Linked DNA regions of Elephas maximus indicus. Each later gene encodes a partner of the first gene's protein in a complex. Links are inferred from orthologs where the notes say so. Each region holds a gene or a part of one and is shown on either strand. Other genes may lie near its edges.

Region 1 (10,264 bases):
TTGCTGTTTACCAAGTGCCCAGTGAATGAATCATTGTCACCACACTCCAGAGTCTGAGGCAAAGGAGAAAGAAATCCAGCCATTACCAGCTCCTTTCTGCTCCCCTCCCTTGGGATAATAGATTAGCCAATGAGTAGACTGGAGAGTCCTAGCCAGTGCGCCTCATTTGCAGCCACCACCTGTCCATCAGAGGAAGCTTGGGTGTTGCTATGATGCTGAACAAGTTTCAATGGAGCTTTCAGACTAAGATGGACTAGGAGGAAAGGCCTACTTCCTACTTACGTTTTGGAAGTGATCTACTTCCAAAAATCAGCCAATGAAAACCCTATGGATCACAATGCCCTGATCTGCAACTGATCATGGGGCTGTCCCAGGACTGGGCAGGTTTTCACTCTGTTGTGAATGGGGTCACCATGGGGCCCACTACACAGTATCTAGCAACAACAGCCCCCAGCAATGATCTTTGCCTTCTGGTTCCTGCAGCTGGGGGATAAGGAAAAGCTGTGGAGAGGGGTGACTGGCAGCCAGCAGGGCCATGGAAGACTCTCCCTCTGCCTCCTCCCTCCACCCCCAGCATGGCCTTCCAAAATCTCTTATTGAGGAAAACTCTTCCCAGCTGCGCTCCAACACAAATAAGGCCTCCCTGAAGGCACAGCATGGCAGCCCTGTGCATCCTGCCTGCTGTCTGTAGAAAGGCCCAGGACCGGACCGTTCCAGGGGCTGGAAGCCGGGCGTTCTGCTTTGCTGCACTGGAGAAGGGCAGCTTTTCCTGTCTAACCTGCCAGGCACCTTGTCCGTGTGCTCAGGGCTGCCTGAAACTCTTTTCCTCTTTCAGTCAGAGAGCGAGGCGGGGCAGGGTAGAAAGAAAGAACACTCATCTGCCGCACCCAGGCCGTGGGAGGTGTTTACAAACACCAGGCTTTCAGAGAGCCTGCAGGGTTCAGCGCCCCTGGGGCCACTGGCAGAGGGGAGAGGGTGCGCGGGGCAGCTGAGGTGAAGCCTCCATGGGGGGGCCACAGAACAAGGGTCTGCAGTGGCCGGCATCGTCCTTGTGCCTGTGCACCCCCCATTCCAGACTGTGGGTCTGTAAAACTGATAGAAGACAGACTCTTACTCCAGGGTGGTCTGTGAGCGAGTCTTGAGGGACAATGTGCTCTGGCCTGGAGGAGAGTAGAAAAAACAACTAAGGAGTGTAGAGGGCAAAAAGCCAGCTCTGATCCAAGTCCAAAGAGCCCTGATGGCACAGTGGTTAAGAGCTTGGCTGCTAACCAAAAGGTCGGCAGTTCAAATCCACCAGCCGCTCATTGGAATCCCTATGGGGCAGTTCTTCTCTGTCCTATGGAATTGACTGGATGGCAGTGGGGTTTTTCTGGTTTGGACTCAAGTCCTGTGCTTCTCTGACAAATGTCCAATTTCTGCCTCCAGTGAGTCCCACTCCTCTGAGTTAATCCCTGCCAGTGTCCAGGATCTAGAGAAGAAAGATCTGGGTTTCTCCAGGGTGGTGAGGCAGCCCTCTCCTCCCCTAACCTACCGCCTCCACTTTAACCACGGAGTCTATTTGCGTCTGACAGAAACCCAAACACATGAGGTCACAAGGTGCTAATAATTTTTCCTTCCTCTCATGCTCTTCCTTGTCCTGTCATCCTTTCCATGAGTAGAAAAGATGTTTCATTTCATACTCAGCCTGTGAGGCTGTTTCATTCCCTGCTCTGTTTATTGTGAGAGCACCGCTAAAACTGCTAGTGTCAGGAAGGAAGGGAGACCAGAGCTGAAAAGTTTACTCCTGGAGTCTGTTCAATGACTGCCCTGCTGGAACACAGTAGAACAGTGGACAAATAGGAAACACAGCCAAGAGAAAAATGGTCTTAGTTTCTTAGTGCTGCTGTAACAAAAATATCAGGTTAGTAGAGTTAAACATTGATTCACCATGTTTTTTGTCTATTCATATTTCTTCTCTTCTGACTTCTCAGTTCATACCCTTTGGCTGATTTTCTATTAAAGTATTCATTAAAAAAAACACAAGAGGGTGGCTTTAAAGAACACAAATTTATTTTCTCACAGTTCAGGACACTAGAAGTCCGAATTCAGGGCACCAGCTCTAAGGGAAGGCTCTCTTTCTGTGGCTCTGGGGGAGGTCCTTGTCTCCTCCAGCATTCCTTGTTTTGAGGCAGACAGCCTTAGAGCCCAACCCTTCTAAAAGACACCTGTGCTGGCTTATCCTACTACATCCAGGAGAATAAGATGCACATTCTTCTGAAGTTGTCCTTAACAAGATAACCATGGAATGGGCCACAGATGGCCTCAACCTACCTCTAGGTGCAGACTTGACATGCTAACGAAGGAAAATCACCTCTTCGTTCATCCCAGAGAATTGAACCCTTGTCTAATGAAAATGCCTAGTCATTCCCAAGTTCTGAGCGCCCCTGTGAAGGTCAATTCTGAATATTCATGATGAATTTGCATTTCCTTGTCTGCTCTCTGTAAAAGCCCACCTCCCCAAGCTGCCTGTGAGCTGTCTTGGAGGCAACAGCCCCTATTGCTTCTTTCCTTGCGCAATCAAATAAAGGCATCTTTCTGATCTCCCAACTCAGCCTCTTGTATATTGACTGTAAAAAGTCACGGCAACATTTCCCTTGGCAATCTTCAAGTGGCATCCATCTTTACCCATTTGTGCTTGCTTACCTCTGTGTCTATGCTGCTCCTCATAACTGGGAAGATATTAGGTTCAGGACATACCCTACAACAATAGGGCCTCATTAACATAACAAAGAAAACCTTATTTACAGACAGATGACATCCACAGGTATAAAACCAAAAACCCATTGCCATGGAGTTGATTCCGACTCATAGTGACCCACAGTGACAGAATAGGGGTTAGGATTCCAGCATGTATTTTTAGGGAACACAATTCAATCAGTAACAAAAATGTATGTCATATTTAATTTAGTATCAACTTAGACACCAAGGATGGGTAAGGGGTGGGGCAGGCTGGGGCTGAAGGCAGACAGTCCCCAGGTGAAAAGAATGAAGGTATCTGGTTGTGACCTGCCCTACTGTTGGCCACTGGACTACTTCTGCTCACACCTGCCTTACAACCTGATGCACAGCTGGTCATGTCACTGCTCAAAATCTTCTGAAGGTTGGCTCACCCTGGCCTAATGGTAAGGCATAAACTCTTTAGCCTGGTGTTCATGATTATGTGATCTGGGCCCACATATCTTGGCTATCTTACCTTCATGAACCAATATCCTCCAAAAGTAGCCTACATTCCAGCCAATATGGAGTACTCCTATCCCCTATACATGCCATGAACTCTCTAGCCACCAAGCCTTTGCTTAGGCTTAGGCTGTCCTCTTCTCTCTTCCTGAAATATTCTTCCTCTATCATCCCTTCTCTGTCTGCCGAATCTTCCTTTTTTTTAATTGTGATTCTCTCTCTCTCTCTATATATATGCATATATACGTATATTTGCCATTTCAGCCATTTTTACATGTCCGGTTCAGTGACATTAATTACATTCACCAGGTTGTGTAACGATCCCCACTATCCATTTTCAAATTTTTCCATTACTCTTAACGGTAACTGAGTGCCACTTCAGCAATACCTCCCCCGTCCCTTTCCCACCCACCCCTGGAAACTATGACTAAACTTTGGTCTCTGTGTATTTGCCTATTCTAGATATTTCACATAAGTGGGATCCTGCAATATTTGTCCTTTTGTGTCGATTTATTTTACTCAGCATAATGTTTTCAAGGTTCATCCATGTGGGAGCATGTGTCAGAACCTTGTGTTTGTGGCTGAGTAATATTCCATTGTATGCGTATACCACATATCCGTTAAATCTTATACATTCTTCAGGGCCCAGCTCAATGCCATTTCCTTTATAAAAATCTACCCAGTCAGAGAAATTGCTCTCTCTCCAATATACTCAAAACATTTTATTTACATAAGACTCGATAGCACTATTTTTTTTTTTCCTTTATAGCATGTAGCATACAGTGCCTTGGAACTGGGTCTGTTTCAGCTTTGTGCCCTCTAGCACATGCCTGGCACAAAGTAATTTCTCAATAAATCTTTGTGGAACTGAACTCAGCCATGAGGTTGAATGAAGTTAATGGATCTTAAAGAAGGGGAAATGTACCAAAACAATAGTGTTCTGTTAGATTTTCCTGCCTCCTACATGTCTGGTGCCGCCTTTCTTTCTTCCTCCTTATCACCATTAAATATTTACAACGTATCAAAGGGGCTTTTCCCACACAGTAGTTGCCCTTGTTTGCAGACCTGAGGCAATACTGTCTGCCCTCTAATGTTTTGCATGGTAAAAAGCCAAAAACACCAATCCCGTAAATCAATTCTGACTCATAGCGACCCTATAAGGCAGACTAGAACTGGCCCCATAGGGTTTTCTAGTCTGTAATCTTTACTACATACTCATGGCTGGCTGGAATAATCTGCAAACTCTTCATTTCAACAGCACTTCCTGAGTACCTGTGTACCCAGATTTCTGCTAAGGTCTCATATAAGTAAGTCATCATCTGATCCCTTCCCTCAAAGGGGCTACAGGAAATCAAAACTTGGAGAAATCTGAGTGAAGCCTTGAAGTGGGTAGCACTTGGCAAGGGCGGCCAAGGGAACAACAAAGTTAGTAGAGGCCTGGAGGTGGGAAGATTAGCTGGGCTACAGGTTAGTTTGTTCAGGAGATAGAGGAGACTTGAGTTAGGGTGGGGCTAAAATAGGAATGTCTCCAAAGCTCTGTTAAGTCTGAAGTTAGTGTGGTAGGTACGTGGTGAGATGTCACTGTCGGATACTGAGCAGGTCAGTGAGGCAAGTGGCAGTGTGGATTGGAGGGGGGAGTGCATGGAGACCAGCAGGGAGACTAGCAGCCACCCAAGGCTGGGGTTCTGACAATCTAGAAGAAGCAAGGGATGCAGTAAAAACACTGGATTGGGAGCCAGGAGACCTGGGCTCTAGTCCTGCCCCTGAGCTAGTGAGATCTTGAACAAGTCACTTCTCTGCTCTGGGCTTTTCCTTACCTGTAAAACCTAAAAACCTTCCAAGTGACCTTCTGAATCTGACAACTGACTGGAGAGCCTTTGAGCTAGGGCACTGGGAAAAAAGGAAAGAGGCCGGTCTAATGGACATTTTAGAACAAGGACGTGTCTCACCTGGAGCCCAGAGACAAAGAGGAAGGAGAGACTAAGAGGGCCCCACCCAAGGGCCCCAGTGAGGGAGAAATGGGGAACCTTGGGGACAGCCCCTCGCCCTGATGACTGGTTTGGCAATCCTGTTTCGGTTCATCCTGTCTTTCCTTCGCCTAATTTAGCTTCACCTCATTCGGTGAGAGCAGGGCAAAATAGGACACGCCTACACCGACCACACTGCAGGGTGGTGGCTTTTTACTTTTCCCTTTTCAGGCCCAGAAATAAGCCTTTTCCTTCCCCATCCACCCGGCGCCTATCTTCCTCCTGAGCAATGTTCGAGGCGTGCAGAAGTGGCAAAGAGCAGTGAGTTTATAGAGAGCTCACAGTGGGCCAGGCACTGTGCTGAGAACGGTAATGCATTATTTTTTCCTCCACAGTTCAATGCAGCGATCGTTACCTCATTGTACAAACGAAGAAGCTGAGACTTAAAGTCGCTAATTAATCTGCGCATGGTCACACACCTACCAAATGGCTATGTAAAGACTGGAAATGAGGTCTGACTACTAAGTCAGCGGAGCTTGCGACCCCATCGCTCACCCACCGCCTCTCAGATCCGAATTCTCGAACCCCGGGCGCCTTCCACGTCCTGTCCTCGCTCTGCCCCAGCCGCACCAGCTCCGCCCCAAGCACCCCGGACGGCGGAGGCGGGGCTGGGGCGCGGGCAGGTGGGGCGGGAAGGGGCGGGGGCGTGGCCGGGGAGGAGGGCCCTGGCGGGGGCGTGGCCGGGAGAGGAGGGCCCTGGCGGGGGCGTGGCTGGGGAAGAAGGCCCTGGCGGGGGCGTGGCCGGGAGTGGAGGGCCCAGGCGGGGGCGTGGCCGGGAGAGGAGGGCCGTGGCGGGGGCGTGGCCGGGGAGGAGGGCCCTGGCGGGGGCGTGGCCGGGGAGGAGGGCCCTGGCGGGGGCGTGGCCGGGGAGGAGGGCCCTGGCGGGGGCGTGGCCGGGAGAGGAGGGCCCTGGCGGGGGCGTGGCCGGAAGCCTTAAAGTTGCCGGGGCGGCAGGGCGGGCCGTTGAGGCGGCGGGTCGCGGTGATCGTCTCACGTCCGAGCGGACTGTGCCGCCGTCACCATGTCCCTGGCGGCCTCGGCGGACCGGGGCGCGGGGTCCTTGTGGTCCCCAACCCACGTGCAGGTGACGGTATTGCAGGCACGGGGCCTGCGGTCCAAGGGCCCCGGGGGCACGAGCGACGCGTACGCGGTGATCCAGGTGGGCAAGGAGAAGTACGCCACCTCGGTGTCCGAGCGCACCCTGGGCGCGCCCGTGTGGCGGGAGGAAGCCACCTTCGAGCTGCCGCCGCTGCTGTCCTCCGGGGCGGCCCCCGCGGCCGCCTCCACCCTGCAGCTCACCGTGCTGCACCGCGCGCTGCTCGGCCTCGACAAGTTCCTGGGCCGCGCCGAGGTGGACCTGCGGGAGCTGCACCGGGACCAGGGCCGCAGGAAGACCCAGTGAGTGCGGGCCGGGGGAGGGGAGAGGCAGCGGAGGAAGGCGCGGGCCCCTGGGGCAGTGGGACACGGGGTGGGAGGGAGGAGAAACATGCGGCCTCGACGCTGAGACCCTTTTAGAGTGAGCGCGACAGTCACGGTGCGTGTTTCAAGGGCACGGACGAAGAGAAGCTCTTCGAGAGGGACCCTCTCTACCAATACTCCTACTCTCACCCGGCTTCACTTCTTCGGCTGTGCGCCCTAGCTTTCCCTGTATTTGAGCTCCTTGAAAGTAGGGGCGGCACCTGGGGGAATTTTAAATCTGCAGGAGGCTGCTCAGCCCCTGGCACATTCATAGTAAGCTCTTAATGACTTTTTGATGAATCGAAAATGTATGTAGGTCAGGCGAATTCCTCCTTATGTGGGTCGTGTGGATATGTGATACGATTATTAATTTATGTAGAAAGTCTCCTGGGTATTTCACTGGCCTGGGCACTCGGAGTTAAGGGATGGGCCAGGGCGGTGGGGATTAACTGGAGAATTGAGACTCACTGACGCCCTGGGGCAGAGTAGAGGCATTACAGTACGGATGGGTGGGGGTGGGACACGGGGAATGCAGGCTGCCCAGTGAGAGCTAACCCACTGCCCACCCGGCGCGGTAATGCCTGAGGCCCAGGGAGAATGCTAGAAGAGTTTAGTCTTTCCTTTTAGGCTGAAAAATATTAACCCTGTTTACCCTGGGCCTCATATTACTAAAAATTTCCCAGTGATGGCTGGAGCCAGGGTCACCCCTTGGCCAAGTGGAACTGGGAAGCCGGCATTGTTTCTCTTTGGAGTTTGTCAAGCTCCCCTCTGTGATCTTAATCCTAATGGATGGCTGCTCATCTGTATCTCCCCCATCAAGGGTTCTGTGTCAGGGTATCTGTTTCCCACACAGAAAGCTGGTCAAAACCCAGTTCACTCCAGTGTGTTACCAATTTATTTGTTCTCTTTCACAGGTGCTTGGAAAGGGCAATGCTTAACCCAATGGAACACTCAATAATTATTCTCATCTAGTTAGTATACCAAAGGAACCCTGGTGGCGCAGTGGTTAAGAGTTTGGCTGCTGACCAAAAGGTCAGCAGTTGGAAACCACCAGCCACTCCTTGGAGACTCTATGGGTTAGTTCTACTCTGTCCTATAGGGTCATTATGAGTTGGAATCTACTCAAAGGCACTGGGTTTGGTTTTTTTCTTCTTCTTCTTTTTTTTTGGTATACCAAAAGCTGGCCTTGCTGATTTTAGTTGGGACACTTTCTTGGACCTTAAATATACAAGCCAATCAGGTCACCACCTAAATTCTACAGTTTATGAAGTACACTGATTCAGTTTGTGTGTCTTGTATACACCTAATATTTTAACTTTCCCTTGTAAGGGAGATAGGAAAAGCTAGAGGATTTGAAGTTACCAGGCTCCCTGTTCTATAGGGTGAGTCCAGTTTGAGCATGCATGTTTGCAAATGCAATACCTGATTCATTTATCTGGCCAAAGATGAAAAGACTTCTGAACTCAAAGCAGATAAAAAGTAGAGAGCCTTGATGTGAAGATGGATGGGGTATCTCTTGGCATCAAATTACAAGCCACAAAGTGAGCAGTGTCATCGTTCAAGAGGGGCTGAAGCAATGCTAATTTTCCATCTGATTAAATGACGTTTGGAATGATAAGTTGGCATCCTTTTCAACTTCATCTGGGTGCTGTTGACCATCCTTTATCTTGTCCTGCCCCAGGATGTGTGGATATTAACTTTCATCACAGCTATCTGTTTCTTCTGTGAACATTTTATCCCCTTGAAAGATGAATCTCATCTCCCGGCCAGAGATGGGGATTCCAGATTCCTGGGTCTGGTGCCAGCTTTGGTCCTGACTAATTGTTGGGCTTCAGGCTGCTTGGTCTCTTAAACACCCGAGTTTTCCTATTTATAAAGGAAGCTTGTTGCCAGCCCTAATTGATGTTTGTAAGACGTTTCTGGCTTCCTGGATTAAAGGGACCAGTGTATAGATTCAAAAGATTCTGTAACTGGTTTGTGAGGAATGAAAACCTTTGTAAGCTCCCTTTTTCAGGAAGAGTTCAGTCTCTGCACCTTCACTTTTCTCATCCTCTTCAGTGTAATCTTTGATGGCTACTCTTATTTTATGAGCTGATTACCGCTGAAGTTACTGTATGACTATCAGGGAGATGGTGCTTAGTTGATGGTTTTTAATAACTGCAAAGGACTTCTTTGTTTCTTTACCACTAGGTGGAATTGCAAGCTTCCATTCTTCACTTCCTGGGACCTGCCAAGGTTCTGGGACACCCCAGTTAAACGAAGCCTTTCTGATGCCCCATTATATCACCTGGGTGCCTGAGATAGCTGAGATTTAGAGAATGAAATATGCACACTTTGACTTGGAGTAGCACTAGAGAGGCGGAAGTTTAACTGAAAGAAACTGGTTGGGCTAGAAAAGTCATTTGAACTAGCTATTAATGGTTTGACTCCTCCGCAGACATTAAAAGTCAGAGACAAAAGCTCAATTCTTGAACTGGTGTGTGTGTGTGTGTTTGCGTGTGTGTGTGTGTGTCTTAATCACTAGCAAAGAAGAGTTGCTGTAAGAGACTGAGATTTGTCATGATTCCAGAAGCCGAAACTCAAGAGCTTACTATGTTAATGTTTCTCTTTGCTCTCTTGATAAGCCTCTGCCTGTCACATTTATTTGGAGGCAGGAGATTATGCTTTCTATCATGACTCAGAATTTGCAGACCTTAAATTTAGTATGATGACACACACCTTTAAAACATCAAACAGAAGCCGCCATCTGTATAGAGGAAACGTTTAGTTAATACACAGATAGGTCCGTAGTTAGAAAAAACAAGAATGGATTGATTCTGCATTTCTACATCTGTTACAAAGACCTGGGCTTTGGTTAAATGGGAGTCAGCATAATAAGTACCATGGTCACAAAGCAGACACGAATCTGGGGGGCAGAATCAAGTGACCAACATATAGAATTCTCTGCTTAGCTCTCTAGTCTTATATATAGTTCACGTAGAGCAAGGAGGTGTGGGGAAATAGTTGTGAAAGACAGATTAAAACAAATATTTGAATGGAGACTTAATATTGTAACAGTCTTCCAGATATGAAGAGATAGTGTGAGTTATGGAGGGTCATTTTCTTATATTTATTGAAGTTGCAAGAGGAAATTCGCCTGATACGAAAGGATTTGGATATCGTCAAGGTTGGCTATCTTGAAGTGTGATGTAGTGAGATGCCGAAATAAGTTGCCAAAGGAAATTTGGGTTATTAAAATGAAATAAAGGCTAGACATGTTTTTCTGGGAGAGTTGGATGCAGAGAAACGGCTTAGATAACCACAGAGATCTATAATTCACAAACTATAAGTAGCTGGTGTCTGTGCGTATACCTTTCCGCTTCCTAAGCATGTTTAAGGTTTTGTAACAGATAAGAGCCATGTTTCCGTTAAGTTTTTGTTTTCTTGGAATTCGCCTCAAAGATAACATTTGGCCTACCTGGAAACCAGTCACACCTCTCACCAGGTCATAGCTCCCTCCCACCCTAGTATAGGAAACTGATAGCTCAATGCCCAGGACAGTTCTCTGTAGATTCTGGGATAAG
Region 2 (10,154 bases), on another chromosome or scaffold:
TCTTTTTTGGATGTGTGCATTTATTGATATAAATTGACCTCTGAGCACTGCTTTCGTTGTGTCCCAAAGGTTCCAGTTGGAAGTGTTTTCATTCTCACTGGATTCTATGAACTTATTCCATCCTCCATACCTTCTATAACCCAGCCATTTTTGAGCAGGGTATTGTTCACTTTCCAAGTGTTTGATTTCTTTTCCCTGCTTTTTCTGTTATTGATTTCTACTTTTATGGCCTTACGGTCAGAGAAGGTGCTTTTTAATATTTCGATGTTCTGAATTCCACTAAGGCTTGCTTTATGACCTAATATGTGGTCTATTCTAGAGAATGTCCCATGTGCACTAGAAAAGAAAGTATACTTGGCTGTTGTTGGGTGGAGTGTTCTGTATATGTCTATGAGGTCATGTTGGTTGACTGTAGCATTTAGATCTTCTGTGTCTTTACTGAGCTTCTTTCTGGATGTTCTGACCTTCACTGCAAGTGGTGCGTTGAAGTCTCCTACTATAATTGTGGAGGTGTCTATCTCACTTTTCAGTGCTATTAGAGTTTGTATTATGTATCTTGCAGCCCTGTCATTGGGTGTATAAATATTTAATATGGATATATCCTCCTGGTGTATTGTCCCTTTAATCATTATATAGTGTCCTCCCTTATCCTTTGTGGTGGATGTAATTTTAAGTCTATTTTGTCAGAAATTAATATTGCCACTTCTGCTCTTTTTTGGTTGCTGTTTGCTTGATATATTTTTTCCCATCCTTTGCGTTTTAGTTTGTTTGTGTCTCTAAGTCTAAGGTGTGTCTCTTGTAGGCAGCATATAGACAGATCATGTTTTTTTTTAATCCATTCTGCCACTCTCTGTCTCTTTATTGGTGCATTTAGTCCATTTACGTTCAGCGTAATTATAGAGTGCTGTCATTTTGATGTCTTCTGTTGTGTGTTGTTGACAGTTTCTTTTTCCCACTTAATTTTTTTGCTGAGTAGTTTATCTTTATATATTGTCTTTTCCTCATATTTGTCGTTGTTGATATTGTTTCTGCTGAGTCTCTATGTTTTTTCTTGTATTTTATTTTGATGAGTAGGATTGTTAGTCTCCTTTTTCCAAGTTTAGACCTAACTTTCATTTCTTTATAGTGTCTTGTCTTCCTCTCCATATGAAAGATCTATGAATACATTTCTTAGTCTCTCTTCATTGTTTTAATGTTGTCTTCTTTTACATAATGACATCGCTGTTACCCTGTTTTTAGCATTTTTTTTTTTTTAATCTTGATTTTTTTTTTATTTCCCTATCTGGGTTGCTATCTGATTGCTCTGTCCAGTGTTCTACTCTTGGGTTGATATCTGATATTATTGATTTTCTAACCAAAGAATTCCCTTTAGTATTTCTTGTAGTTTTGGTTTGTTTTTTATGAATTCCCTAAACTTCTGTTTATCTGGAAATGTCCTAATTTCACCTTCATATTTGAGAGACAGTTTTGCTGGATATATTATTCTTGGCTGGCAATTTTTTTCCTTCAATGCTTTATATAAGTCATCCCATTGTCTTCTTGCCTGCATGGTTTCTGCTAAGTAGTCTGAGTTTATTCTTACCGACTCTCCTTTGTAGGTGACTTTTCATTTATCCCTAGCTGCTCTTAAAATTCTCTCTTTATCTTTGGTTTTGGTAAGTTCGATTATAGTATGTCTTGGTGACTTTCTTTTAAGATTTACCTCATGTGGAGTTCGATGAGCATTGTGGATAGATATCTTTTCATATTTCATGATATCAGGGAAGTTTTCTGCCAACAAATCCTCAACAATTCTATCTGTATTTTCTGTTATTCCTCCCTGTTCTGGTACTCCAATCACTTGTAGGTTATTTCTCTTGATTGAGTCCCATGATTCTTAGGGTTTCTTCATTTTTTTAAATTCTTTTATCTGATTTTTCTTCAAATATATTTGTGCCAAGTGCTTTATCTCCAATCTCACCAATTCTGCCTTCCACTTGCTCAATTCTCTTCTTTTGACTTTGTATTGAGTTGTCTAATTCTGTAATTTTATTGTTAATCTTCTGAGTTTCTGATTGCTGTCTCCCTATGTATTTCTGCAGCTTAAGTTTTTCATTATGTTCTTTAATAACCTTTCTAATTTCTTAAACTCCTTTATCTGTTTGTTGCTTGGCTTGTTCTGCATACTGCCTGATCTCCTTCCTAATCTCGTTCCTGATGTCTTGAAGAGTTCTGTGTATTAATCTTTTGTATTCCACATCTGACAATTCCAGGTAGCACCTTCATCCAGAAGATCCCCTGATTCTTTGTTTTGAGAGCTTTTTGAAGTGACCATGGTCTGCTTTTTTATGTGATTTGATATTGACCACTATCTCCGAGCCATCTATAAGCTATTGTATTAGTTTATTTTTGCTTACTGTATTCTAGCTTCTTGCTTTGTTTTGTTTTGATATGCCCAAATGGGTTGCTTGAGTGAGCTAGCATGATTATTTTTTGCCTTTGAAGTGCTAACGTCCTGTCACCAGGTGGCTAGAGCTGTTTTCAGGTATATCAGGCTAGAATTGTATTCACTTTTCTTGTATGGATTCAGCTCAGGTGTCCAGGTAGTTGGTCACCAAGTGTGTGGTACAGGCTCTGTCCTATGGTCTAAGTGGGGCAAGGGTGATTGGTGTAGGTACCAGTATCTGGTTGCAGCAGGGGTCATGCTCTGAACAAGGCAGGGGGCTGAGAAACATCCCCCGAGTGTCTCTGAGGAAAGCGTGTCCCTGTTCCCTAGTGCGCACAGGTGGGTGGGTTCTGCAGACTAACCATGGGTACCCAATGCTTTTGGTTGTAAGGACTAGGGGGTGCCAGTTATCCTTGGACTCGTCATGGGTGGCTGGGTGACCTGAGTGGAGCCACCAGTCCTTAGGCCCCTGATGTGGGTAAGTGAAGAGCCTGTTTAATTTAGCAAATTGGTGTCAAACATCGAACACCCACCTCTCCAAAGCACAGCTAAAACAGTTGCAGTCTGCCAACAAGGGCCTATTCTCCTAAAATAGGCCCACACAGGTCCATGCAGGGGGTAAAGGTATTCAAAGTCCACTGACTGTTTATGCCTGGACAGGAGCTGCTTCTGTCCTGGGCTCCCCAGGTTAGTGGAGCTGGGAAATTATCTTTTCCCCGAATTGTGAATGTATTCCTTCTCCAAGGCCGGGAGAATGGCTCAGGTTGCTCAACAGAATCTTTCTCAGGCCCAGGGAAATCAACAGCCAGTGAAGCTGGCTTGCAGGGTGGTGGTGGTGGTGGTGGGGGCACAGAAAGATATACCCTAGTACTTAGCTTTTGCCGAGAGTGCTGTTATTCTCTGGTTCCGGAGGTGTGAGTAGGCTGTGTGGCTGGCTATTTCTCCCTGAAGAAAATGCGGCCGAATGCTATTAGCAGCCCATCGCGGTTGCTCCCAGGAATGGTGCCTGTGGGATCCCAGCTATTCAGGTCTGGCAACTCCTCTTCACTTCTGAACCATCTCTCCCTGCCCCGTCGCTCAGTCCATTTTCTAACTTTGCCTTTGATGTTCAGAGCTCCTAGCTTGTCATGAATATAATTGTTTCACTTGTTTTTTTGGGCCTTTGTTTTAAGAGGGATCATCAGAAGCATCTGGCTACTCTGCCATCTCAGCCCCACCTCTATTTTTGTTCTCTTCCTTTATGAAATATGAGGTGCATACAGGGCTAGTGCCCTTTCAGTTGTATGCATCGTAGGTGCAAGTATGACTTTATAATTGCCTTTTTTTAAGAGACTGCATATGGTTTAGGGAGATGTATATGGGTGCCAAGGGGTGGACTGTGATGGTTAAGGTTGCATTGTCAACTTGGCTGGGCCATGATTCTCAGTGGTTTGGCAGTTATGATGTAGCTTGGCAGCTATGTAATGATGTAATCACCTTCATAATGAGACCTGATATGATGTAATCACCTCCATAATGAGATCTGCTATGAACAGCCTATCAGTTGAAAGGAAGTTTTCTTGGGAAGTTTTCTGCATCCCATATACGTGGACTTTCTGGCAAAGCTCACTAGCTTGTGCTTGCTCTGGATCCTCATCTGACCTCTGGTTCTTGGGACCTGAGCTAGCAGCTTACCTGCCAATCTTGGGATTTTTCAGCCTCCACAGCCTATGAGCCAGCAGCCTGCCATTTTAACTGTTGATCTTGGGTTTGCCAGCCCCTGCATCTACGTGAATCAGAAGACTGCAGCTTGACCCACAGACTTGGGACTTCCAGCCTTTACAATCACATGAGTTATTCCCTTGATATAAATCTGTGTGTGTGTGTGTGTGTGTATACATACCATACCATATCATACAATCTTGTCCTTGTTAAGAAACAATCCTTCATGGGTCTCTTGTGTTTATGAACATTTTGTGAGTAGAGGCACTGACTGCCCTTTGTTCCAGACTATCTTTTAGAAAGACAGTATCTCCCTCTGGGGCAAAGAACAAAATACTTACTGACTGGCTGGGCATTATAAAACAAGCCATATTTATTAAAGATTATAAGAATGGAAACAAAGACTTCTAGAGCTGGAAGGGATGTCAACATCACCTTATAATAGCATATCATGTAATAACCATTCCCATTATTTAATTCTTGTTATATTCCAGAAGTTTTGCACATCTCATTTAATTTTCAGAAGGAGCCATATAAGATACATTTTTTATTATCTCTGTTTTGTAGACAAAGAAATTGAGGGTCTGAGAAATCAAGTGACATGCCGAAGGGCATACTATTAGTGTGACAGAGCAGGGATTCATACACAGGTCTTTCTGAAAATGAGAGATTTTTAAATTACAATACATTTTTTCAATGAAAGCTCATAGGCTGAAGTAGCTTCTGAAAGATCCTGAACGCCAAAGAGCAAGCTCGAACTTCATTTTGAGGGCACTGAGGCAGGGCTGGCTTATCCACTAGGCATAGTAGCACAGCACTTAGGTCCTACACTTTTAGGAGCCCACAAACATGTTTTGCTATTAATACATTCATCTTTATATCGACACGGTTTTAAAATATAATTTTAAATATACATACGCGTGTTTATATATATATATATTTCTAGAGAGGAACGGCCAAAGAAGGCAAAAATGTCCAGGGCCCACCACCGAGGTGCGCCAAATTTTCGGGGAAGGTAATATTGGCCGACTAAATTGGAAGACGTGCAGTGGTGGATAAATTGTGAAAAATGTGGTCGCTATTTCCCTCCTCCTGTCAAAGCCCTCTCCCCCGAAGTGGGGCTAAAAGGGCAGAGGTGAAACACAGGTCAGAAAGGGCCACTTCCTAGCTGTGTAAACTTGGACAAATGATTTGATCTGAGCATCAGTTTCGCCATCGATAAAATGGGGACATGTGCCTCCTGGGGTTCTGGCCTCATCTGCCTTGCTTACCGCTTTGTACGAGGCAACCCATAAATACACGTTGAATGAATGCAGGAAACGCGTGCTTAGCAGTGGCCGCCATACAGCAAGCGTCCAGTAAGTGGTAGTTGCTGGCACTGAAAATCGTAAAAAGTCCCCAGAGAGACAACCCTAGCTCTCCAGGACCGAAACTAATCTCAGCAGGTTCCACGCGAAACCGCGCCAGGTAACTTCTCTAGGAGACGAGGCCACGCGACTGCGCTTGCGCATAAGCGCTTTTCCCCGCCCCTTCAGGCCGGAGTGCCAGGGGGGTGGGCCTGGGCGGTGACGCGACGAGTCCAAAGGGGTGGACTCAGGAAGGGGCGTGGCTAGGAGGCCGAGCCTCGGCTACCTTCTTCCGGGCTCCGCCAGCTGCGCGCGCATGCTTCTCCCCCTTCTTTTGTGGTCCGGCCCATTGCGAGGGTGACAGGAAACCCTGTGCAGGGAGCGCCGCCATCTTGGGCTAGCCCGAGGAAGATCCTGAGGGAGCCGCCGCAGCAGTCGCCGCTGCCACCGCTACTGCCGCCAGCGGGTCTACACCTCTTCGGCCAGCCCGCCTACCCGCGGGGCCTCGGCCGACCGCCCCGCCTCCTCTCCCTGCGTCTGCTCTCGTCTTCCTCGTCCTGACGGCCCCCTCCCGCCCGGAAAGCTGCCCAGCCACCAGCAACCCCCCAGGTAACCCAGGCCTTCCGCAGTGCTGGTCTAGTTGGGGCCTCCGCGCCCGGCCCTTCTGAGGGGCGGGGGCGGGGACGACGGCGAGCGGGGGCTGCAGGCGGGCGGCGCCGTGCGGGCAGGCCCTGTCAGGCCGCGGCGAGCCTGGGGTCGGCGGTGGGCGCCGCGGCCTGACGGGACTCCCCTGTGGGGCCGGAAGGTGCCCCCAGCGCTGCCCCTGCTAGAGCCGCCTTGGCCTCCCCACCCCAGCGGAGACCTTCGAGGCGCGCGGGAAGGGTGTGTTCCGACCTCGCCTTCCCCGCCTCCTGGGCCGGACTGGGCAAAATCGCAAGTCCTGCAGGCCTCTCTCCTTGCTCCGGTCTCTGCGGCTGCAGACCACCCGCCGGAGTTTATCCGCGCGTGCTGCGCCGCCTTCCAGCCCACGAGCCCCAGACGTGGCATTCCCCGTCCTGTAAGGCCTCAGCTGGCCCTGAGTACAAAAGGCAGCTCTTCTCAAGCTCGCCGGCATCTTGGACTGCCTCCGGTGTCCTTGTTGATGTGGCTAGACCGGCTCGGGCTTCGGGCTGGGGAAGGGGTCTGTGGGGCTGTGCTTGCTCACACTGAGTCTCAGAGGTTAAGTAACTTCGAGATCATTATTGGACGAATCCCTAAAAGGCCTGTGACATCCTGTAAAACCATGAGCCCAGGATGGCATCAAGAAATAAAGTTCGGCATTTCTAGAATTTAAGAAAAGAGGAAGGAACAAGCACATTTGGAGGGTTTGCAGCCTGCTGTGTGCCAGGCACGGTTCTAGGTATCTTCACATGTTTGTTTGAGCCTCACATCACCCGTGGTGGTAAGTTGAGTTTTACCCACTTTACAAGTGGGGAAACTGAGGCTTGAAATTGCGACGTGGCTGGCTAATGATGGCCCCTACAAACAAATGGCCTTTTCGCCACTCTTTGGTTGGTGTTTTGTGTATTACACTTAAAAGCTAGGCTATGGTGAAAAACATTTGAAATGCAGCTACAACTTGATCTCTTTTTTCCTATATTCAGATTGGATGCTCAGAGTCCATGATGTCAGCCACTGCGCTGCCAGTCCTCACTCTTACAACCCCAGGGAAGAGATGGCAAGATTTACATTTTATATAAAATTGGGGTTATGAGAGGGCAAGTGCTTTCCTGGTGGTCCCACAACAAGTGTCAGAGTGTAGATTTGAACTCCTTGCAAAGTTTATTGCTCATTTCATTGCTACAGCACCACTGCCTTTTATTAAGATGTGGGTATTGAGGACAATCTTGACCTAGCAAAATATATCCAGTTTCCCACCCCTCTAGCCCCCCAGCTTTTCCAAAAATTTTCTTCAAAGTTCTTTTTAGGCCATTTTACTTGGTCATCACTTGAGGCGATGCAGTGCTACATTTTTAAAAGTTTTTGCTCTTTGTATTTCCTGTTAAACTTCGTATTTGTTGTATACTATGCTGCAGAATTTGGAGCATTCATACAACTGAGTTTTATCAGTTTTCAAATATCTTAGCACAATCTTAGTAAGATATTGTACTATTAGAAGGAACTTTTTGTTAAGGCAAATAAGATATGTTAAAACTAAGGCTAATGAGAGATGTTTCATTTTTTAAGAATGCTTGAAACATTTTTATATGATTAAAAATGCCAAACTTGGTTGCAGACAGTGATTTACAAATAGAGGTATCAGAGATTCTTCACTTTTTAAAAACTTTTTATTCTAGAAAATTTTAAACATGTACAAAGTATAATGATGAGCTTTTGTATATATACCCATTAGCCAGTGTCAACTGTGCTCAATCTTGTTTCGTCTGAATACACCTGCTCCTCACTCTCGCTGAAGTTATTTTGAAGCAAATCTCAGACATATCATTTCATTAGTAATTTTTTTTTACTGGTACTGTGTAATCCTTTTAACTCTGGTAGTCAGTGCAGATCTTTTTTTTTTTAAGTGCTTTCCTTCTTTGAGTGGAGGTTAAGTATTGGAGTACTTTATTCCCTACTCAGCATGCCATCATAATCAGCTGGAAAACTTTGTCTCTTGATACATGGAGGAATCCAGTTATTTTTTCCTTATTTTACAATATTAACTTATATAAAGGTATGATATTAAATATCAAAAATATTTTTTTAAGTGGATCTCAGGTGTAGGTGGATTATTTTCAGAAGGTTGTACTGCTGTTGAGGAAAGGAAATTGAGTACTCATTTTGATTAGATTAGAAAATTAGATTAACTGCAGCTTTGTGTCCACCTAACTGATAAATCGAGTAGCATTCCACTTTAGTGGGCCTACAAGCAAATCAAAATGCATTCTATCCTTGAGCTCCATGAAGACAGGGACAGTGTTGCTTTATTTGCACGTTACTGTATTATTAAGGCTTAGCACTATGTTTTGTGTTTATTAGATGCTCAACAGTATTTTTATGTTAGACTCACAAAAGCAATCCATCTTGGATTTGGTGTTTTTAACAAAATGTCTTTCATGTAAAAAAAAACTTACTAATTTAAACAATGAGGATAAGAATTTAAGTCACCGCAACTATTCGGTGGGTTGCTTTTTTCTCTGTTATGTCTCGAGTTGGCTATGTAAATATCATATGTTCAGTACAGTAACATCATGTGTTCTGAGGAGTAGAATAAAATAGCTATATAACAGTTGTGAAAGGATTAGGCATAGTGCATAAGTAAACACAGTGAAGAGCTGAACTATAAAAAAAATTGAAAATATACTGTTTCTTTTTTTTAAGTCAGTCATCTGATTGGCTTCATATTATGTTCTCCGTATTATTGGTAAATGCGGAAATAATGTTGGCAATATTATGAGTGGGAGTTTCTTTTTTTTTTTTTTAATTTTAAAAAGTATTATCGAATGAATATAGTACGTGTGTATTATAATTGGAGGCACCTTGGTGGCACAGTTGGCTAAACACTTGGCTGCTAACCAGAAGGTCAGTGGTTCGAACCCACCAGCAGCTCCACAGGAGAAAGACGTGGCGGCTGCTTCCATAAAGACATACAGTCTTGGAATAACCCTGTGGGGCAGTTTTATTAAAATTAGTGCAGAGATGTATAAAGAAAGTCAATAATTTCCCCCTTCCCTTTTTTCTACTCTCGTCCTATGTATTCATCTTAATTTGTTGTGTTTCCTTCCATACAATATGCATATAGGGTTGAGTGTGTGTGTGTATGTGTATGTTTAAAAATGGCATATGCTGTTGCATAAAACTCTGCACCATGCTTTTTTTCCCTTAAAATCATACTTCCTGGTTAAAGCATCTAGACTGAATTTTTAAAAACTAGGTGCATATTATTTCATGGTACAGATATACTTTATTCAGTCATTTCCCTGTTCATGGGAGTTTAGATTGTTTATAGTTTTTTTGCTGTAAAAGTATTGCGTTAAATGCACTTGTACCTGTAGCCTTATGTACTGCACCTTTTTGCTTCTGTAGAATACTTCCAAGTGGATTTCAGGGCCTCTTTGATTTTGATTTTTTGCTGTTATTTCGTTAGTCTATTTTCGTATGTCTTTGGATTATTCTTTTTTTAAACTTTAAATACATTTTCCAAAATGTTTCAGCAGTTCAGACTCCCACAAGTAGTGTGTGTGAAAATGTATCATCATATATGTACCTGCACTTTTCAAAACTAGTCATTTATGCGTTTATGTAATCTTATTAAGGCAGTGTCAGATCCAGTGTGTGGAGATAGTGCTATTCTGTTTTTTGCACAATGATTATTGTTTAATATGCATTTAGTAACCGTTTAGATCTGTATGTATTAACCTGGAAATATGTCCCTAGCTTTGTTAAGTGCAGAAAAGCATGTTGCAGAGTTTTATACAATGGCATAGCCCATTTTAAAATATATTCCTCACCTTAAGTAGTGTTTCATTAAGAGATGAGGTTGAGAAATCCTTTGTAAAGCAGTATTAAGCATAGTTAATGTTTAAAAGGGGCCACTTGAATACACAGCACAGTAATTATTAGTGTTTAATATGCATTCAGTAAACATTTCTCTTGACAGCTAGGAAGGTTAGAGGTAAATTTTATATGTGCTGATATGACAT

The links. Proteins that work in one complex are often made in the same cells at the same time.
Region 2: the proteins of RAB11FIP1 (region 1) and RAB14 are in contact, whole or in part, in a crystal structure (PDB 4D0G), measured with the Homo sapiens proteins. The link is inferred for Elephas maximus indicus from reciprocal best matches to the Homo sapiens genes RAB11FIP1 and RAB14. Residues at the interface, in NP_001002814.2 of Homo sapiens: Glu1252, Ile1255, Asp1256, Asn1257, Leu1259, Val1260, Met1263, Pro1267, Asn1268, Leu1270, Arg1271, Ile1272; in NP_057406.2 of Homo sapiens: Leu28, His29, Ile44, Gly45, Val46, Glu47, Phe48, Gly49, Trp65, Arg72, Arg74, Ala75, Val76, Ser79, Tyr80.

What each region holds. Positions count from the first base shown.
Region 1 is NC_064840.1:62,783,874-62,794,137, forward strand, and holds the start of RAB11FIP1 (rab11 family-interacting protein 1), read left to right. Parts: upstream 1-6,191; 5' UTR 6,192-6,264; coding exon 6,265-6,641; intron 6,642-10,264. UniProt on the Homo sapiens protein: A Rab11 effector protein involved in the endosomal recycling process. Also involved in controlling membrane trafficking along the phagocytic pathway and in phagocytosis. Interaction with RAB14 may function in the process of neurite formation.
Region 2 is NC_064827.1:71,201,652-71,211,805, reverse strand, and holds the start of RAB14 (ras-related protein Rab-14), read left to right. Parts: upstream 1-5,800; 5' UTR 5,801-6,081; intron 6,082-10,154.